Linked DNA regions of Callithrix jacchus. The protein of the gene in region 2 interacts with the protein of the main gene of each other region in a biochemical or structural test. Links are inferred from orthologs where the notes say so. Each region holds a gene or a part of one and is shown on either strand. Other genes may lie near its edges.

The links.
Region 1: the proteins of TBP (region 2) and DRAP1 are reported together in a solved structure, tested with the Homo sapiens proteins (2 studies listed by BioGRID, with this or other methods). The link is inferred for Callithrix jacchus from reciprocal best matches to the Homo sapiens genes TBP and DRAP1.
Region 3: the proteins of TBP (region 2) and BTAF1 form a complex in vitro, tested with the Homo sapiens proteins (2 studies listed by BioGRID). The link is inferred for Callithrix jacchus from reciprocal best matches to the Homo sapiens genes TBP and BTAF1.
Region 4: the proteins of TBP (region 2) and E2F1 form a complex in vitro, tested with the Homo sapiens proteins (2 studies listed by BioGRID). The link is inferred for Callithrix jacchus from reciprocal best matches to the Homo sapiens genes TBP and E2F1.
Region 5: the proteins of TBP (region 2) and AHR form a complex in vitro, tested with the Homo sapiens proteins (2 studies listed by BioGRID). The link is inferred for Callithrix jacchus from reciprocal best matches to the Homo sapiens genes TBP and AHR.
Region 6: the proteins of TBP (region 2) and MSX1 form a complex in vitro, tested with the Homo sapiens proteins (2 studies listed by BioGRID). The link is inferred for Callithrix jacchus from reciprocal best matches to the Homo sapiens genes TBP and MSX1.
Region 7: the proteins of TBP (region 2) and GTF2F1 form a complex in vitro, tested with the Homo sapiens proteins (3 studies listed by BioGRID, with this or other methods). The link is inferred for Callithrix jacchus from reciprocal best matches to the Homo sapiens genes TBP and GTF2F1.

The regions. Positions count from the first base shown.
Region 1 is NC_133511.1:122,996,277-123,000,115, reverse strand, and holds DRAP1 (dr1-associated corepressor), read right to left. Parts: upstream 2,606-3,839; 5' UTR 2,530-2,605; coding exon 2,488-2,529; intron 2,250-2,487; coding exon 2,177-2,249; intron 2,081-2,176; coding exon 1,987-2,080; intron 1,726-1,986; coding exon 1,606-1,725; intron 1,500-1,605; coding exon 1,406-1,499; intron 1,186-1,405; coding exon 1,097-1,185; intron 743-1,096; coding exon 637-742; 3' UTR 501-636; downstream 1-500. Other genes in the region: C10H11orf68 (UPF0696 protein C11orf68 homolog), read left to right, coding at 2,843-3,201, 3,764-3,839. UniProt on the Homo sapiens protein: The association of the DR1/DRAP1 heterodimer with TBP results in a functional repression of both activated and basal transcription of class II genes.
Region 2 is NC_133505.1:177,177,943-177,181,978, reverse strand, and holds the start of TBP (TATA-box-binding protein), read right to left. Parts: upstream 2,801-4,036; 5' UTR 2,706-2,800; intron 2,552-2,705; exon of another isoform or gene 2,185-2,551; intron 309-2,184; exon of another isoform or gene 306-308; 5' UTR 158-305; coding exon 104-157; intron 1-103. Other genes in the region: PSMB1 (proteasome subunit beta type-1), read left to right, coding at 3,833-3,945. UniProt on the Homo sapiens protein: The TFIID basal transcription factor complex plays a major role in the initiation of RNA polymerase II (Pol II)-dependent transcription.
Region 3 is NC_133513.1:84,694,990-84,698,938, forward strand, and holds the start of BTAF1 (TATA-binding protein-associated factor 172), read left to right. Parts: upstream 1-1,149; 5' UTR 1,150-1,198; coding exon of another isoform or gene 1,199-1,235; 5' UTR 1,236-1,456; coding exon 1,457-1,470; intron 1,471-3,949. Other genes in the region: FGFBP3 (fibroblast growth factor-binding protein 3), read right to left, coding at 1,199-1,235. UniProt on the Homo sapiens protein: Regulates transcription in association with TATA binding protein (TBP). Removes TBP from the TATA box in an ATP-dependent manner.
Region 4 is NC_133506.1:5,612,543-5,616,730, reverse strand, and holds the start of E2F1 (transcription factor E2F1), read right to left. Parts: upstream 2,801-4,188; 5' UTR 2,682-2,800; coding exon 2,421-2,681; intron 1-2,420. UniProt on the Homo sapiens protein: Transcription activator that binds DNA cooperatively with DP proteins through the E2 recognition site, 5'-TTTC[CG]CGC-3' found in the promoter region of a number of genes whose products are involved in cell cycle regulation or in DNA replication.
Region 5 is NC_133512.1:41,107,986-41,111,485, forward strand, and holds part of AHR (aryl hydrocarbon receptor), read right to left. Parts: intron 2,849-3,500; coding exon 2,646-2,848; intron 2,065-2,645; coding exon 1,955-2,064; intron 1,285-1,954; coding exon 1,143-1,284; intron 1-1,142. UniProt on the Homo sapiens protein: Ligand-activated transcription factor that enables cells to adapt to changing conditions by sensing compounds from the environment, diet, microbiome and cellular metabolism, and which plays important roles in development, immunity and cancer.
Region 6 is NC_133504.1:185,060,189-185,064,255, forward strand, and holds the start of MSX1 (homeobox protein MSX-1), read left to right. Parts: upstream 1-1,267; 5' UTR 1,268-1,501; coding exon 1,502-1,970; intron 1,971-4,067. UniProt on the Homo sapiens protein: Acts as a transcriptional repressor. Capable of transcription autoinactivation.
Region 7 is NC_133523.1:6,031,203-6,035,266, forward strand, and holds the start of GTF2F1 (general transcription factor IIF subunit 1), read right to left. Parts: upstream 2,801-4,064; 5' UTR 2,647-2,800; coding exon 2,635-2,646; intron 2,551-2,634; coding exon 2,504-2,550; intron 1,694-2,503; coding exon 1,621-1,693; intron 1-1,620. UniProt on the Homo sapiens protein: TFIIF is a general transcription initiation factor that binds to RNA polymerase II and helps to recruit it to the initiation complex in collaboration with TFIIB. It promotes transcription elongation.

The DNA.
Region 1 (3,839 bases), on a different chromosome or scaffold from region 2:
TAGACAGGAGTGGTGGAGGGCACCTGTAATCCCAGCTACTTGGGAGGCTGAGGCAGGAGAATCTCTTGAACCCGGGAAGTGGAAGCTGCAGTGAGCCGAGATCACACCACTGCACTCCAGCCTGGGTAAAAGAGCGACTCCATCTCAAATTTAAAAAAAGTGACCTCAATCCTCTCCCCAAACCCACTCACTTATCCCTTCACAGCAGCCTACAGTGGGCAGAAAGGTCTCCATCAGAGACAAGAGGCTGCTCAGGGCAGGGCAGCAGCCTGCCGGGAGTCAGCAATGTCCCCCGAGTGCCCAGCACCTGCAAGCTCTCCCACCTCCCTTCAGTCGGTCAGCAGCCCTGGTGCCGCTCAGCACAGCCGGGGCCTCCAGCCTCCCCAGCTGACACCTCCCTCGCTCACTACCGCTTCACCTGCCAGTGACCCAGGCCCAGCTCCCAGTTTCTTGTGGGGAAGGCAGGTGGGGGGATGGGACAGCAACCATGACATCCTGCAGAGAGCCTGGGACAGACACTGATGATTCCCTTTTATTAATTTTTTTAATAAATTCAAGAACAGCTGTACCTTCCCTCCTCCCCCCAGAGCAACTAAAACCAACTAAAAGGGGCTATTGCCTGGGGGGCGGAGGGCGCTAGGAGTCGTAATCCTCTTCATCCTCTGCGTCTGGTGCTGAGGGGCCTGGGGGCGCTGGGGGCAAAGGCAGAGTAGAGGCGAAGGGCAGGAAAGGTGTCGGGGGGCTGTAGGGCAGAAGGCAGGGGGGAGTCAGGCCTGAGCCTCACCTGTCCTCCACAGGGGCAGCTGCCAAGACCTTCCCTCCCCCATCCTCCCTCCCACCACCACCCTCCAGATGCATGGGACCAAGGCTCAGGGCAGTTCAGGCAGGGCAGGCCCAGGCTCCACCCATAGGCGCTGGCAGAGTGGGACAGGATCTTTCGGAAGAACAGTCTCCTGCCTTCAAGCCCTCCTCAGTTATTCTCCTCCCACCCCCAAATCTGCCACAATCAGCAAGACCAAGGAGTCAGGAAAAGCAGGAGGGGTGAGCTGGCTCTGGGGAGTCTGCCAGCACCCTCCCGTGCCTCTGGGCTGCTCACCTCTGAAAGTGGGCAGGGGGGTGGCTGGCCTGGGGTGGGGGTTGCAATGTCTCCTCTTCTCCGTCAGTGTCTGTGTCCTCAGATTCATCCTGTGAGCACCGCAGAGATCAGAGTTGACAAGAAATGGCATGAGCCCATCACCAGAAGTGGCAGAGACAGCAGGAGACCTCATAGCCCCAATTTACAAAGAAACTGGGGTACAAAGAGGTCACAGAAAAGGACGAGAGCTGGCCTCCAGCTGGTTCAGTCTGAGGCGAGGCTGCCAGTCCCATCACCAAGGGCAGGCCGAAGGGTTGGGGCCTCACTCACCTCCTGCTCCGAGTCTGTCCCAGACAGCTTCTTGTCCTTGCTTTTCGTTCCCATCCCACCGTTCTTTCGGCTGCCACTGCCTGGCTTCCGGCCCCTTTGGGAAGGTACAGTCCATCTGCCCAGAGGTCTCCCTACTCCTCAGCCTCCCCCCAGCCCTGTGGCCTTGGCCTTCCCCACTGTATGCCAGGCCCTGGCTGCACCTGCGGGGGCCCTTTTCCCCATCCATGTGGTTGTCCTCCCCGTCTCCCTGCATGTCGGGCACAGATGCCACCAAGTCTTTCAAGAAGTCAAACTGCTGCTCCAGCTCGATGCACTGCTTCCTAGAAGAGGTGGGGAGGGGCTGGCACCCAGACCCTCTCAGCGAGTGACAGCAAGGGGCCCCGGATGTCAGACTGGAGCCCAGGCCCCATCACCACCCCCGGGGCTGCCCTCCTTTGCTCGGGTGGCTCCCTCTGTCTGGACGTCCAGACCCTCCACCACTCTGAGGCTTCGCTGGTGTCCCGGCCGCCGCCCACCTCCCTCGCTATCCAGGCTCTGCCTCCCTCCGCACGTGAACTTCCCGCGCCAGCCCCGCCGCTCACAGGTGGGATGTGGTCATGGTCTTGGCGTTTCGGGACTGGGTCACCTGGCAGGCCTTCTTCAACAGCGACTCTAGGAAGAGCTCGAGCGCCCGGGCTGAGGGGCGTCAAGGAGAACGCGGGGGGCGGGAGAGGGCGACCTGCTGCCTCCCTCCCCTACGCCCCTCGACCCGGCAAGCTCCCGGCAGGATACAGATGATGACAGGCACTGCCGCCGCTACCTTCCCAATCTCTTCGTCCGTCTGCATGATCTTCTTGATCCGCGCCTGCAGGTGGGCGAGCAGAGAGTTCAGACCCCGTCGCCTCCGTCCCCGAAGGGGATGCTTGGGGAGGAAGGGGCATCCCCGGAGAAAAGGGGCGGGGGACGCGGACGCGGGGAGGGCACAGAGGGGGCGGGGCGTCCAGGCCCCCGAACACCGCGCCGCGCCCGCCTCCCCAGCGGGAACTGGGCCTAAGCCTCCCGGGAGCAGGGCCCACTCCTGCCGGACTCTGCCACGTGCTCACCGGCGGGAACCGCGCGTTGTACTTCTTCTTCTTGCTCGGCATCTCGGGGCCTCTCTCTCCGCGTCAGGTCCAGCGCCGCCGCCCGCAGCCTCCCGGTTCCCGGGCCTGCTCGCCGCCCGCCCGCCGCGGTTCCCCCGGGTCCTGGTGCCGCCCGCTCCGCCCCCGCTGCTTCCCGAGGGGTCCTAGCGCCGCCGGTTAAGACGCCGCTCGCCGGGCCCTAGTGCCCTCTGCTTGGAGCCTCCCGGACGGTACGCGTCCGTCCGGGGTCTAGACCGCCGCTCCCGCCCGCCCCCAAGGCCAGAAGAGCGAACGTTGGCCCCGCCCCCCGCGGCCCGCCCCTCCCCGGGTTCCCGCGATGGCCCCGCCCCCGAGCGACACCTCCCCGCAGGCCCCGCCCCTTCCCCTGTCGGCCCCGCCCAGCGGTGCGCCGCTGTGGCCGGCGGCCCCGCCCCGTGGCTGCGCGGCGCTAAGATGGCGGCGGCGGCAGCGGCGGCCGTGGCGGGGGCGGGGCGCGGCGGCGGTGGCGCGGAATCCCGGCAGGAGCGGAGCCGGGCCCGGGGCTGGGTCGGCGTCGAACGCAGCGAAGGCCGGAGGTGACTGCGGGCGGTGGGAGGGGCGGGGCCGGGGCGGGGGCGCAGCTCGGGCCGTGGGCGCTAATGGCGGCAGGCGCGGCAAGGCCGGAGCCTGCGCTCCTGCAGGCTCTAACAAGCCCAGGTTCGAGTCCGGGCACTGCCCCATTGGCCTCGGACCGGCTCGCGCCCTCTCTGGGCCTCAGTGTCTTCGTCTTTAACTGGGCCGGACGACGCCTGCCCAGGAGGCCTGGCCCAACAGAGCCGGCCTCGGGAGCTGCGCGAACGTGCGCTTCTCTACCTCCCTCCATTAAATGCTAGCGCTCCGGATACCTGCCGGAAAAGGGGACCTTGGTGGGGCGGGGAGGTGTAGCTGAGGCAATGCTCCCACGCCTGGCTTCACCTTTTGGCTCTGTCACACACTACGGGCGTGACCTTGGGCAAGTCCTTTATCTCTGAGCCTCAGTTTCCTTGTCTATAAGTCAAGGAGAATAGTAATAACTGTAGCAACCCTTCTGGAGCTCTCACTCCTCAGGTATCTAATTTTCACAACGGATCTACGGGACAGGAACAGTTGTTAGCCCATTGTAAAGATGAGGCAACTGAGGCGCATCGACAGTAACTCTTACCCAAGGCCACAGTTTAATCCCGTGCCTAGCACCTGTAGTTATTGTCTCTGACTCCGCCTTGTTTCGGTTCGCTCACAGCAGGATGGAACCAGGTGAGGAGCTAGAAGAGGAGGACTCTCCAGGTGGCCGTGAGGATGGCTTCACCGCTGAGCAC
Region 2 (4,036 bases):
TCAAAAACAGATCATTAAATACCCTTCCTTCCCTTTGATACCATCTCTTGAAGTACATATTTCTGCCCTCCCTGTTCTCATTCTCTTCCTCCTGCTGTATTACCTGAGGGGAGGCCAAGCCCTGAGCGTAAGGTGGCAGGCTGTTGTTCTGATCCATGATGTTCACTTCCTTCTTGGCAAACCAGAAACCCTTGGGCTGGAACTTGTCTCACCATTCAATTTTTTCCTAGCGCATCTCCAGCACACTCTTCTCAGCAACTTCCTCAATTCCTTGGGTTATCTTCACACACCAAGAGACAGTGATGCTGCTTTGGAAAAAAGCCTGAAGTTTAATGTAAGGATTCAGGTAACCTGTACAGTCCTATAAGCCAGTTCCATGGCTATACAAAACACAAACAAGAAAACCAATGAAGCTATTTTGGAATACATTGCCTTTTGCTTTATAATCCTGAAGTCTTATTCCTTCCATGTTTCCTGTGATTACATGTAAAATCGCCAACAAAAGTCATTTTGTTACGCATTTAAATACTATGATGATGCATCAAAAACTTTTGAGGAAAAATACTGAGAGGAAACTAATTCCTAAGCAAACTGTAATATCACAGCAGAGTATTCGTTAAGCACTGTATATACAGCACAGTTAAGCAAAGTTCAGATCTTTATTCCAATTTTATATCCTCTATAATGTCTTGGGCAAAAAATTAAGTAAATATACTTCAGTGATCAGTTATTGAGCTCCTACTATAATAAAACTAAAAAAAAAAGCTGCACAAAGATAAAACCCTGCATTTTTGTAAATAATAACCTTACCTCTTTAGAACACATTAATGCAAACCGTGCCTGTTATCTGGCTTTTCTTAAATCATCATCTCTTTACTCATGTCCATATCTGAAATGAGTTTATAATAACAACATATTCTCACCCAGAACTTCAGGTCTCAAAGTTACAAATTATATGTCCAAAGACCCTTCAGGCATATGCACTTCAAGCATGTGCTGGTACACAATAGACACTCAGATATTTGTGAAGGAATGAAAGATTCTGAGGATCGCTTTGAAAGGGCTAAGGCCCCCAGACTCTGTATCCTACCTACTCATCACTGAAAAAATGGCCAAAAAAGAAAGCAAGCGAACTCTGCTTCTGAAAATAAAAATATCAGAGATGTTTTTAAAATTATACTTTTTGACAGTTACCGTATAATAACAATAACAGAAGTGATGCAGATGAGGATGTAAAGATTAGGAGGTTATAGTCCTTGGCATCAAAATGTTCAATATAAAGGGTATGCAAATCATTACTATAAAACATAGTATAATAGCAGGTGTGCCCTAAGCTAAGTTTCTTTTTTTTTTTTTTTTTTTTTTTTTGAGACGGAGTTTCGCTCTTGTTACCCAGGCTGGAGTGCAATGGCACGATCTCGGCTCACCGCAACCTCCGCCTCCTGGGTTCAGGCAATTCTTCTGCCTCAGCCTCCTGAGTAGCTGGGATTACAGACACACGCCACCACGCCCAACTAACTTTTTGTATTTTTAGTAGAGACGGGGTTTCACCATGTTGACCAGGATGGTCTCGATCTCTTGACCTCGTGATTCACCCGCCTCGGCCTCCCAAAGTGCTGGGATTACAGGCGTGAGCCACCGCGCCCGGCCAGCTAAGTTTCTTGAATGTAGAAACCAGTCTTTGTCATCCCTGCATCTAGCACTATGCCTGGAATACAGTATGTGATCATGAATAAGTGCATATATGCCCCTGGAAGAGAAGACATATAGACTAACAGCACACTACTATGAAGAGGGGCAGTGTTTTCACAAAACAAGGACCATCTAACTTGGGTCTCACAAGGTGAATAGGAATTTACAGGTCAGGGCTTCAGATAAACGAGGTAACATTGAAAAAGCATGCCGTATGAAGGTGACAAGCTTAGTATGACTGTATAGGTCACTACAGGAGATGAGACGGCAAATATTGGTAGGCTCTTATCACTTTTTGCACGTAAGTCTACAGAAGAAACCGCACAGTGGTTACTGCACTTTCTCCCTAGAAAAGGGTTGTTTGCTGGGTCTCTTCATCTCTTCGAAATTGAAACATCAAATTCGATATTTTTTGGAGGCAATCTAACTCTGCATAGCCTTCTAGTGTCTGTATATCTAAATGAAGCATAGTCTTTTCACAGAAAAGCCTACCTAGAGATTTGGAAAACCATGATGGCCTGAACCGAGAGATGGGAGGCCCTGTAAACAAAGTGATGTGTACTGTATCTTAAGCGCTACTGTGTCCGCTGTCTCAGGCTTCTGACAAAGTATTTAAGTCTCAATGTTGGTAGCAAAATAGGCGGGCACAGACCACAGTGAATCTGCCTTCAAACATGGAGAAGAAGCGGGTGGCAGGCCAGGGCAGAATAAACTTCGGGTCTTCGATGCAAGGGATTGCCCTGTCCCGCCCGCCGCCGCCGAGCCCGCCAGTACCCTGCGCCCCACGCTCGTATGACGGGAAGCCGCTTGCGAACCACAGCGGAATAGGGCACCAGGCGAAAGCGGCGGCCGAGTGGCCGTTACAGGCCGGAACGGCGGCAGCACGAGCGGGAGGAACGTCCCCTGCAGGGCCTGCGCGCGCCAATTCCTTGTCTCTTCCCCACCATCGCCCCCAGGCCTCAATGCAGTGGTCGCCTCCGCCCGAACCCTCAGAAAAGAGGACAAGCTGTTACCTGGGTCACTGCAGAAATTACTATGAGCCCGCGGAAACGAAGTTAAACAGCCGGCGGCCCAGGCGCCCGCCACAGGAACCCTGCCCGACCCCACTGAACTCCAGGCGCGCGTTGATAATGTCACTTCCGCCAGTTCTGCCCTCGGCTTCAGCGAATTGTTCTCACTGGGGTCGTGGCCATGCGAAGTGTGGGCACTTGCTCACTTCCTGTGTTTCCGTAGGCGTGTAGTTTAAGGGAAGGAGGGGCGAAGCTCTTGAGGAGTTCCGGGACTGGGCGGGCGCACCACCGCTGTCTCTAATTGGCCCTTGCTGGGCATAGGAAAGATCAATTTTTAAATGGTGTGTGTGTTTCAAGCAACTAGAGGCGTTACCGTTGGCAAGTTCCCTGACTTCTTCCCCGCAGTTTCTTCTGTAAAATTTAATAATGATGATACTAGTGCTTAACTTTGGGCTCTCTGGAGACTGACAGTCAATGCCTGAGCAGTGCCTGGCACTCAGTAAGCGCGTGCTCCTTACCTGTCAGCAACAACGCTAGCTGATCTTCAAGCGTGTAGAATGACTAGGAACACTAAGCAAAACACAAGCCGCTTCAGGCACTGTGGTCAAAGGCTCGATCCGCAGTTGTTTCCTAGTGGGACGTCAGCACGCCTTTATTTTACCTTCTATAGTTCGTTTTGGCGGAATCATATATTATACCGCTTGTTTCCTTTGGACTTTCTATTATCAGTGAGGTTGTGAGCTCTTTAAGGATAGGAAATGTTACATACATTTTGTATTAGCCAGGACAATTTAGGCTGTTACTATTATTCCAGTTGCCGTTGCTCCACAGTTTTGGCAAATTTTTGCACGGTCAGACTTTTAAAATTTTGTCCATATGGGTGAATTCCAATCTTTTCTTCGGGGGAAAAACAAAAAACAAAAACCTTAATATCTTTCTGGTAATGGGCAGGACCCAACTATGAAAGGGACTAGCGGCAGAGCAGCCCTCCAGGAGCAACGACTAGTGCGAGATAGAGAGGCCGGGAGCGAGTTACAGGAAAGCCGGAAGTGGCGTAACGTCCGGTCAGGGCGGCCATCTCGCCGTGAGGCAGCAGGAGTAGCGGCCGGAGTTGCGGGCGCTTCAGTGAGATGTTGTCCTCTACAGCCATGTATTCGGGTCCTGGCAGAGAGCTGGGAATGGAGCCGCACAGAGCTGCGGGACCTCTGCAGCTACGATTTTCGCCCTACGCTTTCAACGGAGGGTAAAAACCCTTGAGAGCCGCAGCTTTCACTTTCGCCCTCCCCCCATCTGCTGAAGCCTATTTGGGGGTCACCGCCGCGAAGGCGCTGCCC
Region 3 (3,949 bases), on a different chromosome or scaffold from region 2:
TTTACAGACGAAAAACAGACTCAAGGATTGAGACACAGCCTCTACAGGTAATGAGAAGCAATGGACATGCTTTATAAGCATAGGAGCAACATGATAAAGCAGTGAGTTTTTTTTTTTTTTCTAAGATTAATCTGTTGGTGGCCTATAAAAAGGACTAAATTGAAAATTAGAGAAATATTATTTTGACTACTAGCATAAAAATCAAGTTTAAGGGCCCGGCACAGTGGCTCGCACTTGTAATCCTAGCACTTTGGGAGGCAGAGGCGGGCGGATCACTTGAGGCCAGGGGCGGGAGACCAGCCTAGCCAACATGGCGACACCCCACCTCTACTAAAAAAATACAAAAAATTGGCAGGGTGTGGTGGCACGTGCCTGTAATCCCAGTTACTTCAGAGGTTGAGGCACATATAGAATTGCTTGAACCCCGGAAGCGGAGGTTGCAGTGAGCCGAGATCATGCTGCTGCACTCCAGCCTGGGCAACAGAGCAAAACTCTATTTCAAAGAAAAAAAAAAAACAAGTTTAAGATGATAAGGACCTGCACTAGGTAGCAGAAGTGTTTAAAAGCCTAATGAACTTAAAACTATTGAAAAGCCAGATAAGCCCCCAAAAAAGAACAAAAATTTTAAAACGTGAGTTTTCAAATCTGGCTAAGAAAATAATACTATGAACAACATAAACAATTGAGAAATCCAACTTGGGCAAATCGTTGGTCAGAAGAGCTTCTCTCCAGTACCTATGCAGAACTTCTGGCAAATAATGGCAAACATCTAAGCCATTTCCTCAGCGTCATAGCAGATTTTTCTTTCGTTCACTCCGCCCACTGGCTTCACCACCTGAACAAGAGCATCTTAATTAAGGGCCTTCTGATCTTGCTTCCCTAGAAGCAGTTTGGTGGGAAGGAGACTGGTTGGTATGGAATTAGAAATCAAGGTTTTAAAGTCCCAGGACTTTGGCTAAATCGGCTTTTTCCTTCTCTGTCAAACAAAGGGACCCTTAGTTCACCTACTTCCCTACTTTTAAGACTGGAGATCCTCTCCATATCAGTACAAACCGCTTTTACTTAAGCGCGTGTCACCAAACTAAAGGCGCTCACGCAGAGCGGAGCCCCTGGCGGTGAGCTTACGTCACGTCCGGCGCGCTGACGCTCAGTTCTGCGTGCCGACGCCTGCGTCAGCAAAGAGCGGAGCTTGGGGTACCCGGTTTGAAGTCGTGCGGGTCGGAGGACTGCCGCATCCGCTACGGTGTTGGACCCCTGCTCCCTGGCTGCTGCGGGTACGAGCTCGGGTAGGCGGCAGGGCAGATGCCCGAGGGCCTGAGCTGGAACTCCCCGCGCCGCAGCGGCCGCTCCCTTGTGCTTCGCGGCCTGGACCTTCACCGTTTCGCTCACTGGAAACTAGCGCCTCAGCTGCGCGGCGCGTAGGTCGCACGGAGCTCCGAACCGCCGGCGCCCGGCTATGGCGGTCTCCAGGTGGGTCTTGCTCCTAACGAGCGAACGTGAAGGCCGCTCAGGCAAGGCACGGTCTCCTCTCAGCGCCCTCAGTCGTAGAGAGGAGCGGCTCTCATTGTCACTGGGCTCCGGCGCTTTCTTCAGTAGACTTCGGAGTTCGCCCCGTGGTCGGAGGGGGTTTGGGGCTCGGGTTACCCCTGGGTAAATTGGCTCAAGAATGCCTTTTTTCTTGTTAAATAGACCCCTTGGCACGTTAGAGCTGGTTTTTCTCTCCTCACCATGTTTCTGTTCTCTGGTTTCTCTTCCCTCTTTCGGTTCTAGGAGAGTAAGTCTCTTATCTTTCTCTGTATTCTAAGGCTGGTCCCTAACCTCCATTTCATGGGAAAACTTGGTAGTTACTGTCGATTGAGGGGAAACCTGAATTACTGTTATCTAAGAGACCGTCTAATTATGTTAACAATTTTAATTTACGTTTTAGGGGCATGTTCTTTCCTGAGCTATTTTTTAAAATTAAGTATAATTTCTCCTTTTGTTTGGCAGTAAATATTCCAACGTCAGCGTTGTAACCTTAAGCAAATTATCGTATTAGCATCATCTTCCTTAGCTAAGGGGTGAAAGATAAATCACAAATCTTGTATTCTTTGGCAATACTGCCTGTCAACAGGAAAGCCCGGGAAAACTATAGAAAAACTAATAAGACATTCATTTGTATAGCTATAGGAGAAACATTCTTCTTTCCTCCAGTATGATAGAATGGTTGGAAAACTTTTGTAAGTGGATTTTGGTGGCCCTATGTACATGTGATTAAGGGATAGTTCCTCAGTGATAGTGATGGGGTGGATTCACCAAGTTCTTTAGAGTTGTTAAGGTAACTTTTAATGAGAATTGGGTTCTTCTATCATATAGACTGAAGGAATAAATGATGAAAACAATTAGTTTTCATTCATTTTTTATAATTAACTGATCACATTCTTTGAGCATTTTAAGTGCGCAAATTTTATCTGTTTTGCAAGGGAAAGGATAACCCATTCCTTACAGACTCCCTAGATGACTGATGAAACTGTGTGGGAGAAGCCCATGAGAGTTGGCTGAAGGGGGTTGCTAGGTACCTGTAGTATGGGGCATCTAATTTTTGTTATATAGATTAATCTATTTAATGTAAGGAAATTCTTTAAAAAAAAATTAAACTGCCTTAAGAGAATACAAGTGACATTTTACATTTTTGCAGATATAGAAAGGTATATATAGAAAGGTATGTTTTCTTATTTATTTATCTATATATTTGAGACGGAATCTAGCTCTGTCACTCAGGCTGGAGTGCAGTGGCACAATCTCAGCTCACTGCAACCTCCACTTCCCGGGTTCAAGTGATTCTCCTGCCTCAGCCTCCCTAGTAGCTGGGATTATAGGTGCCCACCACCATATGCAACTAATTTTTTTTTTTGTATTTTTAGTAGAGATGGGGTTTCACCATGTTGGCCAGGCTGGTCTCAAACTCCTGACCTTGTGATCCACCCACCTCTGCCTCCTAAAGTGCTAAGATTGCCACCAAGCCAGGCCATATCTTCTAATTTGTTACCTCCTGTATAAATACATGAATATATACATTGTAAATGCATTGATATATAAACTTAATATAACATTTGTCATGTAATACAGTGTTTAAGGAGATGAGTACTTCCTTTCTTAGAACAAGCTGTGTATTTTCACAGGATTGGATGTAGCTTATAAAGACAAAATTAAAGTGTTTAAAAAGAACCTAATCTTCGTGTAACACTAATCTCTTTACAGAAGTTTAGGAAACTGAATATTTCTGAATGACTGAGTGGGTTTTGAAGGCACTGTCTTTTGTTCTGAATATTGTGTTTCAAAGAGTAGCACTCTTTTTCTGTAGATTTTTTTTTTCCTTGTTCACTTTTTAAAAAGCCTGTCATGTTTTTATGAAAGAGCTATTTCTGTGCTTAGTTTCCTTGGGCTTACTAGTAAGCCCAAGGAAAACATTTTGAGACACTGTGTGTGTTTTGGGGGTAGTGTCAATTCTTGACTTTTTCATCTGCGGATTTCTTTGCATGGCAAATTTTAGTTTCAAGCTGGCCTTCTCCATGCATGAAGCACAGTTCTGTGCTAACGAAACTTTCTTTCTCTCCTGTTGGTGTATGCTTGTGGAATGCAGACTCATTTAATACTATTTTATGTAAAATTGGTGGAAAATAGTCCAGGAGATAATAATCATCTGGCAAAATCAAATCTAAAATACTTTTTACACTGTTTATTTCATATGCATAACTGAAGAGAAACTATAATATTTTTAGGACATTTCCAACAAAATTTCCAACAGATGGGAAATAGTAAATTAGTATCACTATTCCCTCATCCAGAAATTTGAGACTGGGTGTGGTGGCTCACGTCTGTAATCCAGTTTGGGATTATACTCTGCCCCAGGCTGAGGGAGGCTGAAGCAGGAGAAACACTTGAAACCCGGAGGTGAAGATTGCAGTGA
Region 4 (4,188 bases), on a different chromosome or scaffold from region 2:
GCAAGACCCTGTCTCTACTAAAAATACAAAAATTAGCTGGGTGTGGTGGTATGTGCCTGCAATCCCACCTACTTGGGAGGCCAAGGCACAGAATATCTTGAACTCCGGAGGTGGAGGTTGCAGTGAGCCCTGATCACACCACTGTACTCCAGCCTGCATAACAGAATGAGACTCTGTCTCCAAAAAAAAAAAACAGTTAAGTTTTCTACAGTAAACATGTATTATGTTTAAAATATTTGAGTTTGTGGAAGTGGACAGGCAGGACCAAGAGAAATGGCTGAATTGCACAGAGCCTGGTATACAGTGTTCAACGAATGCCTGCTGGTACAGAAGCTAAGTCTGTAGCTTATTCCAGGGACTGTGCCAGACAAATGCCAGTGCAGAGAGGCCAAAAGCCGAACCTGTGGACCTTCTGGACTTCAGCTCCAGTCTCCTGCCCCTAAGTACAGAAAACACCTCCTGGCCCTGAAGGACTCTGAGGGTGGGGCTCCTTTTCTCTGAGCCTAGTGCCTCCTAGGCATTCACTAACTCAACAACTGTTGAATGAATGGAATGCCCGGGCCAATAAGCCTGCCCCTGACAGGTAGAGTGGAGGGCACTCTTCTTTGCCCCGTTTCTCCTTCTGATCCTAGAATCCATAATCCTGTTCAGTTCCTTGAGGACAAGACCCTCAGGTTCTGTTAGGTTTCCACAGACCTGAGCCTGCTATATGCTTGTCACACAGCTGAATGGAGGATGCTTGCCCAGGTCCCAAGCACTACCCACAGGGACAAACCCCCGGAGTACAGGAGACAAGCCACCTGGCCCACCCCTCCCACCCACTCATTAAGATGAAGGGCCCCCAAAAGCCCTTCCTGCCCTTTCTTCAGCCTCTATCAGCATCCCTAGAAAGCAATGCATCCCAGAGGTCAACCTCACAGGAAATACAGATTCAACCCCCCGCTCAATAGCAGAATGACATGGGAAGATTCTAGTATTTCTAGGCCTCAGCTTCCCAATCTGTAAAAAGGGATTGCTGCTGATGGGGTTAAATGAGTTAATTAGGTAAAGCTCTTGGCAGAGCCTGGCACATAAGACATCCTCAAAACAATGGTGGCTGCTATTGTTATTATTATTAGCATCGTGGTGATTCCGGAAGGCAGCACTGGGCATGAGGCCAAGGGGGTGGGGGAGCCCCTTTAGATGCCTCAGGGACCAGCTGCTACCCTCACCCCCATCAGCAGTTAGGCAGCTTCTACCTCCTAGTCCTAAGCCCTGCCTCACCCCTCCCACTTGCTCCAAGCTCCCTGCTGAGACCCCATCCTGCTTGACCAGCCCCTGCCTGCACATCAGAGCCCCACCTTCACCCATAGGCTGCGCCAGTCAAACTGGTCTCCACACCCTGTACTGCAGCCCACAGGTCCCAGCTCCAGGCTTCTACGCCTCCAATCCCTTCTCCCACTGTAATTCAGCCACCTCTTCTGGGCACCACCCCCCCCCCACCCCCCGCCCCGTCTGAACTGGTCTTGAGCTCAGCACTCAGGGACGGCTTTATTAAAGGATCTCCCTGGGACATTTTCTCTCCTGGCACTGGGGGCCTCCTCTCCAGCTCCCAGAGGCCCAGCCCACCTAGTTCTTCTACAGAGGCTCAGGGGTCTGTCTGTCTGATTAATGAGGTTCCATGGCAACCAGGGCCTGGGAGGGTGGAGGGTGGCAGATGGAAGGACAGGCAGAGGGAGGAGATCAGCAGCTGGTCCAGCTGCCCCGCCCCTGCAGAGAAGGCCTCCCAGCCAGGAGGGCTGTCCCCAGAGGCCTGGCCGGCCAGTCCTGCACCTGGCAGTCAGCATCGAGGCAGGAAGGAGGGTCTCCTCAGTGGCTCACCAACGGTTAAGCCCCAGGACCTTCCTCGCCCCGCCTTCACTTCCCCTAGCAGCTGTGTTCACTACCGAGATGCAAATTCTGATCTGAAGCCAGCAGGCCGCAGTTCAAATCCCAGCCCCGCCACCTGCAGCCGTGTGACCAGGGGCAAGTCACTGTCCCTCTCTGGGCCTCAGTCCTCCTCCGTCAGCTGGGCACAGTGACAACACGGCTTACAGCAGGGTTGTGAGTTTCAGCTGGCTTGAAGTCGGCCGAGGCCTGGCGTGCAATAAACGCCAGTTGAATACACGTGGGCCATTATTATCATTGAGTCCGACGCTGGGGAGGCTTTAGTGAGGAAGCTCAGGCCCAGAGCAGAGGAGCAAACAGGGACCGGCCCGAGGTCACCCCGCACCCCAGGGCGGAGCCTGGAGGCACAAGCCAGGCTCTGCACCGCCCAGCCTGGGTGCCTCAGTCCACCCCTCCCCCGCCCCCTGCCGCCTCCAGGCCAAACACAGCACCCGCCCAGGTCTGCTCAGGGGGCACAGGCAGTGCTGCCGGCGCGGCGTCCCTGGGGTCCGTACCGGCGGGCGGCCGAGCGCGGGGCGCGGCGCGCTGGGTGTGGGCCGGGGCGCCTGCGGAGTGGCGAAGAGCAGCAGGTCGGGGTCGCACGGGCCGGCGGCGGGCGCCGCGGGGCCAGCTGGGGCCGGCGGGACGCTGGCGTCCTGTGCGGCGGAGATGATGACGATCTGCGAGGAGTCGAGCAGCCGCAGCGCGCCGGCCCCGAGCAGGGCCTCCAGCGCCGGCGCGCATGGGCCGCCCGCAGGGGCCCCGGCCAAAGCCATGGCGCTCACGGCCCGCGCGGCCCGGGTGACAGGCGGCGGCGGCGGCGCGGGCCCATGGCGGCAGGCCCCAGCAAGGGCTCCATCCCGCTCCGCCCCCGGCCGCCGCTGCCTGCAAAGTCCCGGCCACTTTTACGCGCCAAATCCTTTTTGCCGCGAAAGAGCCACGAGCCGCCGAGCGCCGCCACGATTGGCTGCCCGGGCCGTGACGAAGTCGACGGCAGCGGCTCCTATTGGCTATAGCGCGCCGGACCGGCGGCGACGGGAGGGATGGGGCGGCGGCGCGGGGCGGCGCGGGGCGGCGCGGCCAATGGCGGGGCGGGGCGCGCGCAGGCTTTGTCCAGACAGTGCCAGGCGCGGTCGGACTCCCCGCCCCCAGGCCGAGCGTCCCCTGCCGGAGGCGTGGGGACACTGGAACATGGCCCCGCCCCGACGCTCCCGCATCCCACTGACCTTTCTATAGTGCAGGTTCAGGACAGAGCCTCTGTTCACGCGACCCTCAACCTGTAGCCCCCACAACCTCAGCCCACATCTCCAGAAACTGCCCCCTCTTCTTTTCGGGATCATCAGTTCCACAGCCCAGCCATCAGCCACCTCTCCTATCCTCAACTTACCACACCCATGACATTATCCTAACCCTGCACCCAGCCCTATCCCACTCACCCAAAGCCCAAGCTGAAGAGCGGTACCAGGAAATGAGGAGGGACGACCCGCCAGATATTAGCCTGGGGCTTTCCTGCAAGTCCCATTTTAGCCAAAATCTACAATGGCCAAGTAAAGCGTCTGCTTGAACTAATTCATTCCCTCACTCATTCAACAAACGTCAGGAGAGCCTGCTCTGTGCCCATCCTTAACTCTGTGCCCCCATCCTTAATTCGTGGCCCTAAGGAGCTCACAGTCTACTGGATAGGGGACAGAGAGGTAACAGACGTTTACAATAGGATGAAGCATTGGTCCAGAGCGGTGGCTCATGCCTGGAATCACTATAATCAACGGGCAGGGTGGATCTCTTGAGCCCAGGAGTTTGAGACCAGCCTGAGCAACATGGTGAAACCCTTCTCTACAAAAAATACAAAAATTAGCCAGGCGTGGTGGTGTCCATCTGTAGTTCCAGCTACTTGGGAGGCTGAGGTGGGAGGATTGCTTGAGTCCGAGAAATGAAGGCTGCAGTGAGCTATGATCATGCCACTGCACTCCAGCCTGGGCAACAGAGCAAGATCCTGTCTCTAAAACAAAACAAAAACAAAACACATCACTTCTTCTAGGGACCCCTCCCAAGGATCTACTCACTTCCTCTATTGCCCACTGCTGCCTCTGTTCCAACACTGACCACACATTTCTCCATCTGCCTCCCCTGCCAATCTAGAAGCTCAGTAGCGCTTCCTCCCAACACTGGCCTGACCCAGAGCAGGCACTGAGAAAGGTTATAAAAGAACCAGAGGCATGGCGGGGCACGGTGACTCACACCTGTAATCCCAGCACTTTGGGAGGCTGAGGAGGGCAGATCACC
Region 5 (3,500 bases), on a different chromosome or scaffold from region 2:
ATAATTAAAATGACAAACAAATGTGTACACTAGAAAAAAAAAATCAATCAACCAAAATTTGGATCTTAATAAAGACTAATAAAATCTAACCTAAAAAAAACTGCCTTCTAGAAACATTGATCAAGGGAGAAGGGACAAATTTGTAGAGGTACACACACACCCATGCACGCATATACATACATACACACATACGCCTGTACTTCCATGGGTACTTACAAACATACACATTCACCATGCTCATGGGTTCAAAGGCTCAGTATTAAAAAGATGTTAATTCTCCCCAAATGATCTACAGTTTCAATGTAATCCCACTCAAAATCTCAACAGATTTTCAGACAACTGCTTTCTAAAATGTATGTGGAATTATAAAGGGCAAAAAAGAGCCAAGGCAATCTTGAACAACAACCAAAAAAAGGCAAAACAAACAAAATGAAGACACAGTCAGACATCGAAATGTATAATAAAGAGAGAATAAGACAGTGTAATGCTGGTACAAAATAGACAACTACATCAATGGAACTATTACAGGACGACAGAATCCAGAGAGAGAACAACAGACAAAATCCCCTGATTAAAATACAGTGCAGTGGGGAAAAGATGACCTTTTCAGTAAAGCATCTTTTCAATGTTCCTGGTCAACTGGGTACACATATAAGGGCTGGGGAGAGTCAATCTTAATCCTTACCTCAAGCCACAGACAAAAGTCAATTCTCCAGAATGGAAGAAAACATTTGCAATACAAATATTTGACAAAAGACTCATTTGCAGCATATATAAGAAACTCTTAAAATCACTGCTATATTTACAGAACATATTCTAAAAAAAAAATTGTTATATTTTTCTTTTATATTACCAATGACATTAGCTTTTCATATGCTCAGGATAAAACCCTAGAGTGTTCTTTTAATATTCTTTAAATATTAGCTCTATTGATCACCTGCACAGGTAGGTGACCAATAAAGTTTGTCAATTGTATCTTCTCAATGTCTCTCACATGTGCTCTCCTTACTAAACAAATTACATTAACTTTTCAATTTTTATTTCCAGACTAAATTCTGATTGAATTATTTTTATGCGTTCACATAAGAGGACTTATGAAAACAACACTGATAACAGAAACAGAAAACATTCTTTGTGCTTACGTTAGCGGTCTCTGAGTTGCAATGATATAATCCGGTCTTCCATTTTTATAAAGCAAGCGTGCATTAGACTGGACCCATGCCCATCGATTGTTTTTTGTAAGAAGTCGGAAAACTATCATGCCACTTTCTCCAGTCTTAATCACTAAAATAAAATTTAAAAAGTACATTATGAAACTCCAAATCAATATATTGAAGGATATTCCTAAAAACAAAGCTCTTGTGACATAGCTCTGGATGTATTTTCTTTATTCCCAAAGACAGTAAGTTTTAAACACAAAATATGATTAGGCATAGAAATAGTTTTTTGGAGTTGTTTTTTTCCCCCATTTCAGACTAAATTTATTATTTTAAATGTTAGAGGAAAGATTACATACTAGACAATTCTAGTAACACAGGAAAGTATAGAGAGAGCAGAAATTGGGGAAAAAAGATTAAAACATTTTCATTTTAAATAGGGGATGTTTTCCTACAGCCTAATATTTTATAATTTTAAAGTAGAATTATTAACACTATTATTGTTAAAATATTAACATAGATTTATGAATTGATAATGATGTAACTGAAGAATTCCCAAGCAAAATTTCATGGGCCACAATGGTCATTTTTCAGTCACTAAGCTACAATATTTCTGGGTGGCAGGTATAGACAAGTTAATGAACAGAGTGTAACCCTGGTTAATCATAATGATACATTACTAAGTAGAAGTTTATCCATATAGTTTACTTAAACATGTTATATTACATATTTTGAAACACGTACTACAGCGTATGCTGGTTTTTTTCCTGACATGTTCATAAGGAACTATGACTTACTCCGGATATGGGACTCAGCACAATAAAGCATATCAGCAGCATGAAGAAACTGATATCCTGATCCTCTTGTGCACAGCTCTGCTTCAGTATATCCTAAAACAATTCTTCCCCTGTTTAAAATAAAGGTAAAATAAAAATGAACTTATATTTAACATAAATGAAATAACCAAGATAAATTCACTGTTTTTATGCTAGTTTCTGCCAAATGTGTTAATTCACAGTTAGAATTTCACATGAGTAAGTAGATGTGAAATTAAACACATCTATGTAAATCGCTCTTCTCTGCTTATGGCCGCAAATTTCAGTCTCAGCCTACTTTCTTTTCCTGAATAAAACCATGGAAATCAGTAAGCTAAAAATGAATCTAATAGAGCAGATGTATGGGTAACAGAAAATCTTTAATAACATTTGTGCCATTTAAAAATGTAAAAGAAACCAACAATAAATGTCATCAGAACAAATTTTACAAATATATAAGAACATCATCATTTGAGACAAGTAGTGCAAAAAATTAAAAGGATGATTTGTGAGCCTGATGAAATTATTTTACTTTAAAAGCCTACACTGAAATAGCCAATCTAATAATAAACAATATTACATACAGTCTACACTGTATGTTTTACATGCTAAGAGAGACTTACTGAAACATAATGTACATCCAATAAAACAGAAGTGAAAAAGTCTCACTTACTTGGCATCACAACCAATAGGTGTGAAGTCTAGTTTGTGTTTAGTTCTAAAGATAAAATTTTTGGTCCGGATTTCAAGTATGGACGGTGGCTGAAGTGGAGTAGCTATTGCAAACAAAGCCAACTGAGGTGGAAGGATTGATCCATCTTTCCCTTTCTTTTTTTGCCCATGAAGATACTTTAACCTCCCTTGGAAATTCATTGCCTTAAAAAAACAAAAAAGCAAAAAAAGTTAATTAAAATTAACAATATAAAATAGTTCCTTTTTAAAAGGCTCCATTATGGCTGCCTCTAGGGTTCTTGATAATTCCACAAATGTTCCTGGAACTGAGAATGGTTAGTTTCTTTCACTCCTCTCTCCACGGGAACGTCATTAAAACTATCCCAACGTGTAGTATGAGAAATATTGTAAGGGGATAAGTGAAGCACTCCTTGTTTCTAATGGTCATAGCATGAATACCTGTATCATTTTCCGAGCTTGCCATTACCCTATCATTTTCACCTCGCACAGCTCCTTGCACACCAGGCAATCAATATATCCTTAATGGTGATAAGGTCCTGAAGCAAACACTCATTTTCAAGCACACATGAACTATATCACAGCTCATAGCATATTGCATAGTTCAGAGTAATGTTTTCTATAGAGACAAAATATAATTTTATTAAAACACTAAAATGAATCATCATGAAAACATATAAAGAATGCAGAGCTCTACTGAGCAAAGATATAGAAGAAATTTAGAGGTCAGGGAAAACAAAGGTGATTTAAACATGAACATGATATATTTATTTGGTTAAAACAGTATCAATCAGTCCAAGGGATGATTCTGACATCAAACTAATAGCAGCACAAGGAG
Region 6 (4,067 bases), on a different chromosome or scaffold from region 2:
GATTCCCTGAGAGCCGCTGGCCTGGGCCGCGGGAGGAAAGGCCATAAAGCGACAGGCGCAGAAAACGGCCAAGCCCCGACCCCGCTTCGCATAGATCTTGCAACTCCCCTGACCCGGCCTCATTTTTCCTTTTTTTTTTTTTTTTTAAATTAACAGCAAACTAAATCACGTTTTCTCCAAAAATGGCAAAATAAAAGTTCTCAAGTTCCGCACAGCAGTCCACCACCAAGAACTGTCTTCTTTTCCTGGCCCCCTTCCCCAAAGGTGCCTCTCCCCCTCCAGGATCAGCGACCCAGAGATAGGGACCTGTTATTGTTCCCGCGGACGCGTTGTTTGAGGTCACGCTAAGGCCAGACAAGTGTTTTGTTGACGTTTCTGTTGGTTTTATTTCAGTAAATTCTATATCAAAAGGATCCGGCAGCTCCTTTTCCTGGCCGGCCGCTATAGGTGTTGTGGGGTGGGGGTAGGTGGGGTGAAAATACGCGTCGCGTCTGAAAACCGACTCCAGATTCTCGATAATTTTATGTATTCTCACATCCTTAGCACCACAGAAACCTGGCTTCTTCCCACAAACTTTACTCCAGCTCTGAGTTAGAGACAAAGGCCCAGTTTTACCTCCAGGTAAAGTTTAGAAGATTTCAGCACAGGAAGAAAATGAAGGTTATTTATTTATTTATTTATTTATTTTTGCAAAAGAAACTAATACTATGTATTTCTCCTAAGATAAATAGTCATGCATGTTTTTTAAAATACAAAAGGAATGCGCAAGAAATGGCCTCAACTCAAATTAGTGTGGTAGAGGAACGTGGGAGGTCAGATAGCGGAGAGGCGGGACAGAGAAACCCAGCCACAGACTAAAGAGAAAGGTAAAGAAGCAGTAAAGAAGAGAAACAAGGATGGGGCAGAAAAAAGAAGAGTGGAAAAGACGGCCGAGGAGGGGAGGAGAGGAGAGAGGAGGGCAGAAGAGAAGGAGCGAGAACAAGGGAAAATCCCCTGGGAAAACAGAAAGATAGAGACCCAGGGGGACCCCCGCAGAGAGGGGCCGCCTGCGCCTCAGCGCCGAGGAAAGTTTGCCGGGCACCCCCCTCCCCGCCTCTGCCCTCCGCCGGCCCGGCACTGCCCTGCGCGCCCCCAGGCCCAGCGCGCCTCCGGGTGAGTCCCTAGGAGCGCGGCCCAATGGATCGCTCCGGGCCCGCCCCCTCGCGCGCTGATTGGCCGCCGCCGCGCTGGCCTCGCCTTATTAGCAAGTTCTCAGGAGAGCGGCGGCGGGACCCGGAGCGGGCTAGTGCTCCCGGGAACTCGGCCTGCGCAGCGGCGGTGATCCCGAGCCAGGCCCGGCGCGCCGGAGCGGGCCTGCTGGGGAGGAGCGGGAGGTGCGCGCGGGAGGGTCCGCCCGGCCAGGACCCCGGGCGCTCCTAGAGGCCGGCCGCGCTCCCAGCCCGCCCGAAGCCCATGCCCGGAGGCTGGCCCGTGCTGCGGCAGGAGGGGGGCCCGGCTCTGCATGGCCCCGAGTGCTGACATGACTTCTTTGCCACTCGGTGTCAAAGTGGAGGACTCCGCCTTCGGCAAGCCGGCGGGGGGAGGCTCGGGCCAGGCCCCCGGCGCCGCCGCGGCCACGGCGGCCGCCATGGGCGCGGACGAGGAGGGAGCCAAGCCCAAAGTGTCCCCTTCGCTCCTGCCTTTCAGCGTGGAGGCGCTCATGGCCGACCACAGGAAGCCAGGGGCCAAGGAGAGCTCCCTAGCGGCCTCCGAGAGCGCGCAGGCGGCGGGTGGCTTGGCTCAGCCCTTGGGCGTCCCGCCCGGGTCGCTGGGCGCCCCGGACGCTCCTTCTTCGCCGCGGCCGCTCGGCCATTTCTCGGTGGGAGGACTCCTTAAGCTGCCAGAAGATGCGCTCGTCAAAGCCGAGAGCCCCGAGAAGCCCGAGAGGACTCCGTGGATGCAGAGTCCCCGATTCTCCCCGCCGCCAGCCAGTAAGTAGCCAGAACCCAGGCGCCGAGGGAGGGGCCGGACGGGGTGCGGGCCTGCGGCATCTGCGTACCTGGAGCTGGTGTTAAGGAGCCGTGGGTTGCAAGGCCGGGTTTTGCGCCTCCCTCCACTCCCACCCAGGAAGAAGGTTCCAGACCTCCTCGCCTTGGCCAGAGAAGCTGCGGGTGGGAGTTAACGGACGGGACACCGATGTCTGGGCACCCTGTCCTCCTGTCCCCACCAAACGACCCCAGAGTCCATGATCCCTCATCTGGTTCCAAACTCTGTTTCCTCGCCGTCACCCCAGCAGATGAATGTGTGTGGTGCGGACATCTTCCCTGCACACGGAGTTTCACTTTCTGCCAGTAGGACCTGGTGTCCCCTAGCCCCTCATCCTTTGCAAATATCTCTTTGCCTAGAGGTTCCGAAGCTCCAACAGAATTCCACCTCCCCCCGCCCTTCGAGTTTGAGGCAGATAGTTAGTGCTTTGGGTAGATGGATGATTCAGGGGTGGGGACCTTCAGGTTTCAGTGGAGGGGGCGGGGCACCAAGTCAGTTAGGGGAAGGCGCCCCCGCTAATCCTGTCGGAACCACGAACTGAGCCGTTAAAGCGGACTCCAGGTGCCCACGGCGAGTTCGGGCTGTGGTTCCAATGCCTCACGGCCCCCTGGCTGCTCTACTCAGAGAACACGCCTGGAGATATTTCAGGAGCACGGGAAATTCCCAAGTTTTCCTCGTTTCCTCCGATTATTTTGCTCGGCATAATAGCAGCCAGAAATCAATGGCGTGTTGCTGAGGAATGATTTTTATCTGCGGATTAAACGTCTTTGAAAGGCCAGTCCCTCCCTGAGCCTAATGGTCGGAGAAGGTGGCCCTGCGCTGGGTTGTTGCCGCCGAAGGGAGTGACGTTTCTCTCGGCGCCTGCCCCTCGGGCGGCCAGGCGGAAAGCGAGTTGGGGGCCAAGCGCTTCCCGGACTCCCGGTGGCCTCTGGCGGGGAAGAAGCGGGGTGTTAACACGAGATTTCGTTTGACTCACATCCTGGTGATCTGAGAGTCCAAAGGATCGGGTTTTCTTTGTTGGTTGTTGCTGATTTTTAAAAGAGTGTGAAAAATGCGGACTTAAGCAAAACCCGTGTGGTGTAACATCCTCAGTTTGAATTCACTTTCTGCCAGGAAAACTACTGCATAGGGAAAGTGTCCTTTCCAACGCTTAGGGCCTTAGGCCCCAAGACCCCAAAGTCAAAGTGATCCCAGCCCTCTTGGGAATATTTTGTTCCACGTTTCATCCGGGGACAGTGCCCAGCGGACCCCGTTGCACTGGTCCTGTGCTCTGCTTCCTCACTGCCCACCCTTGAGGTTTATTTTGAAGGCAAAAGAAAAAGACAGCTGGGCATGTTGGTGTCTGCTGACTTTGCCACAGTTCGAGGGGAGAGGCGATCTCAACCCCCGCCCCCACCAACATACACACACACACACACACACACACACACACACACACGTTTGAGTGGGGCCAGAGGGCCCTGGCGCCAGGGGTGAATGCAATCCAACAGAAGAGTGAAACAATCCAAAGAAAAAAGCCCTTTAGAATAAAGCAGCCCCAGGTCCTCGACTCCCGATGACACTTTCTAATTTCTAGAAGAGGTGGCCACAGCCCACCCGCCAAGAAGGTCTGCACTGCTCCATCTCTAGTCTGCGGGAACTACCCCTACCATCACATAGGAGCCCAGCGTTCCAGGGGAAAGTATAGAATTTGATCTAGATTCTATGCCACAGAACGGCCTAGCCCCGCACTGAAGCATTCCGTGTGTACTGATATATGTTTGGCCAACGCGTGAAACTTAATGTGGCCTTGGGCAGGGTGCAGGGCCTCTTTCTGCATGTTTCATCACCTGTGTTAGCATCCACCTTTCCTCTGCGTGGCGGTGGGAGGAGGCCCGCCTTGAAGGCCTTCCGAAGTCGCAGGGCAGCTTTACAAAGGCGCTTCTACCTCTTCCCAGCTGCTTGGGCCTTAGACGTGGACAACGGGCCTTCAACATGGGTATTTTTCTCCTGGAATCTTCGTTTCTTCATTTGCAAAAAGTAGGAACGTCTTCCCTGTGGGG
Region 7 (4,064 bases), on a different chromosome or scaffold from region 2:
GAAAATAAAGCGACCGGGCGCGGTGGCTCAAGCCTGTAATCCCAGCACTTTGGGAGGCCGAGGCGGGTGGATCACGAGGTCAAGAGATTGAGACCATCCTGGTCAACATGGTGAAACCCCGTCTCTACTAAAAATGCAAAAAATTAGCTGGGCACGGTGGCACGTGCCTGTAATCCCAGCTACTCATGAGGCTGAGGCAGGAGAATTGCCTGAACCCAGGAGGCGGAGGTTGCGGTGAGCCGAGATCGCGCTGCACTCCAGCCTGGGTAACAAGAGCAAAACTCCGTCTCAAAAAAAAAAAGAAAAAAAGAAAGAAAGAAAATAAAAAGGTCAGGCACAGTGGCTCACACCTGTAATCCCAGCACTTTCAGAGGCCAAGGTGGGTGGATCACCTGAGGTCAGGAGTTCGAGACCAGTCTGACCAACATGGTGTAACCCCATCTCTACCAAAAATACAAAAATTAGGTGGGAGTGGGGGTGGGCACCTGTAATCCCAGCTACATGAGAGACTAAGGCAAGAGAATGGCTTGAACCTGGGAGTTGAAGGTTGCAGTGAGCTGAGGTCGTGCCATTGCACTCCATCCTGGGCAACAAAAGTGAAACACCATCACAAAAAAATAAATTTAAATAAATAAAAAGAAATTCATTGTGCCAAACTTGTTGACAGTAAGACACCAAAATCTCTAAAATGTAACCATTAATCATGACCTATGTGGCCAATAAGGTCCCAATTACCCTTAAGCTCTTGCTTCAAGGTCCATATGTACCATTTCCAAAACACTCTAGAATCCAGCCACATCTCATCACCTTCACGGCCTCCACATCCCCAGGCCAGGACTCACCTAGACCAGTCAGCCCAGTTGCTTCCACCCTGTTCTCCCTTTATCCGCCCTCAAACCCACAGTTTGCCTCCCCACAGCAGCCAGATCACAATACAACTTCCCCGTGGAGGATGCTTTAATGGCTCCCACAGTCCTTTCTAGAGCCTCTGATGGCAGGGGCTCTGGGGAAGGCCCTAGCCCAGTCCCCTCCCTCAGCCAGATAAACCTTGGCAAAAATGGCCATCAGTGGGCACAACTTCTAAATGTTCTCCATTAAGGAATGGCCTCCTGTGGTCCTACTAAACGTAACTTACAGGGACACCCAGGAGCTTGGCCTGGGCCTTTGCCATCTTTTTTTTTTTTTTTTTTTTTTTTTGAGACAGGTCTTACTCTGTCACCAGGCTGGAGTGCAGTAGTGTAATCATAGCTCACTGCAGCCTTCAACTCCTGGGGTCAAGTGATCCTCCTACCTCAGCCTCCTGTGCAGGACTACAGATGCACACTACCACATCCAGCTAATTATTTTATTTTTGGTAGAGATAGGGTCTTGCTATATTGCCCAGGCTGGTCTTGAACTCCTGGCCTTAGGCAAGCCTCCTGCCTTGGCCTCCCAAGTGCTAAGATTACAGGTACAAACTACTGCACCCAACTCTTTGTCATCTACCTTATCTCCACTTGGGAAAAGTGAGAAAATTAAGACTTAGTTACTATGACAGCTAAGCAACTATTACAACCACCAAGGTCAGGGTCAGGTTCTCTCACCACCCCAGCCCCCGACCCCCAGGACCCAGGGACTTACCTGATTCCACGTGGCAAAGTTGACTTTATCAGCTGCATTAAAAGCCATGATGTTATATTTTTTGGTTGTATTCCTAGAGTGGATTAGAAGAGATAGAGCCAATCCAATACATCAATTCAATTCAATCATTAATTTAATCAATCAATGTGAACACATCATTAATTCAATCAAATCATTAATTCGATCGTTCCATTCAACTGAACCATTAATTCAAGCATTCCATTCCACTGAATCATTAATTCAGTCACTCAACAAACCCACCCTGGTTCATTCAGTCTGTTTTGCCTGTCAACACTGGATACGGAAGACTGCAGGAATCCCAGTCTGCCAGAGAAGCTAGACCCCATCCCCTCTTAACTGCGTGCAGACGAAGAACAAATGGAGGAACAAAGATTGGGAGAAACCCAAGATGTGGAGATTATTGGGAACTCAGCCTTGGGGAGGAGGGAGGTCAGTCAGGGAGTGCTTCCTGGAGGAAGATGATACTGGAGCTGAGTTTTGCAGAATCAACAAGAATTCACCCAACAGAGTCACCGTTTGGGGGCTGAGGGGAGGCACTCATGGCAGAGGGAACGGGATGTACAAAGGCCTGGAAAGGAAAGGCAGCCTGCTCGCTTTGAAAGAGGACGAGACAGCCTGGGCATCATATGCTCTCGAACGTTAGGCCAGGAGGCTGAATCGTGCTGTGTATTAATGCACTCATTCATACAAAAAGCAGTGTTTGCCTCCAGAGAAGCCTCAGCTTAATCGCAGCCCTGCCCTCCAAGTCCCCCGGTCTGGAGGGAGAACCACAGACAGGGCCAGAAACGTCAGGCTAAGAGGACCGTAAAGGTTTTCACTTTTGCGGGGTGGAGAGGAGTGGGAGATGGGGTAGGGGATTTACTTCGGAACTCGAACGACGTATTCAGTGACATTCTGGCTGCTGGGGCCCTGCGGAAAGAGGAAGCGGACGGTGAGTAAGGTGCCGCCGAGGTCGCCGCCGGGACCCCCGAACCCCGCCAAATCCACACTCACTAGGGCCGCCATGGGCAATGGTCAGTGGTTCCGTGGTCCGACCCGGGTTCCTTTCTTCTCCTCTGGCTAGCGCGTCCCTCGATCTCGGGGAAGCCGCCGTTCCTTGTCGGGTCTCTGTTCCGGTCCCCGTGTGAGGATTCCTACCCTAGGCGCCTCTGGCACTGGGAAAGGGTAACCGGAAGAGGCGTTCAGGTTATTCCGTCTACGCCTCCGCGGCCGCCTAACCCGGAAGCTAAACCCTCCAGCGGCCGCGTCGCGATGGCAACCTTCTAAGCGGCTGTGGCTACCTCAATGCGCCGTCACTTATGTTCCTCGGCGTCTATGGCCACCTCAAAAGAGCCACCCCTGCCCCTTTTCAGACGCAACAAGGCCGAGTCTGAGATCAAATAACCGGCCTTGGTCGCTGATGCTCCTATGTACAGTGCGGTCATCAAATGTGGGACCGCCCTCCTTCGTGACGTCAGCACCCAAGGACCGCAGGGCATCCTGGGTGGGAAGAAGGAAGCTAGTCCTCCTTGCGGGCTCCCAGGCGCTTTGCGCATGCGTCATGCCGCTCGGGACTTTGGGGCTTGGAAGGCCGCGTCACCATAGCAACTGAGGCCTACTCGGGTCCAGTCGAACTGCCGCTTGGCTCCCTATGGGCCTGTTTGGGGTTCGTTTCCTCTACCTGCCCAGAAGGGGTGGACCCCGTCATTCCCGCAAAATGACCGGAGCGGGGACCCTTGTGACGTTGAGCCGAGCCAGGAGGGGTCAGAGCCTGCCCGGAATCGGGGCGCGACCACCCCAAGGGCTGCTGGCGGGATGGGTCTCTGCAAGTCCAAGCTGCCCCAAATGGGCAGGGCTCTGAGGCCCCCGGAGAAGAGTAACGTCGTGGGGGTGGCTGGCTGGCTTACTGGGGGGAAGGGAAGGAGGCTGCAGAGGACGGGAGGGAGGTGCAAGTTCCCCTACCCCATTCCAGGCGTGCACACACCCCTCAAGCCTGGCAGTAACACAATTGCGCATGCTCACAGCACAACCATTCATTGCTCTAGTTCGGAAATACTCAAGCACGCTGCTGGGTTCCGGGCTCCGCCAGGTGAATATATCAAACCAGCTCTCTGTCCTCTGCGGGTTACAGTGTCGTGGCGGAGACTCATAAAATGGGAATCTACAACCCAGGAAGGAGCAGGAGAAGCACAGCGGGGCTCTGAGGGCTCAGAGAAGACGGGAGGTTTCAGTTGGCCACTGAGGGATGCATAGGAGTTGTAGGCTACGCAGAGGGAAGGGGAACAAGACATGTCTGGTTTCATTTATTCCTCATCCACTAAATGTCAAGAACTGCCAACTCCTCGGAATGTAGGAGTGAGAGAGGCAGAAGTAGTCTGGGGTGTAAACTTTTTAATTCCTGTAGTGGGTTAGTGTAGGGGGTAGACCCCATAAGTTCTGGGGAG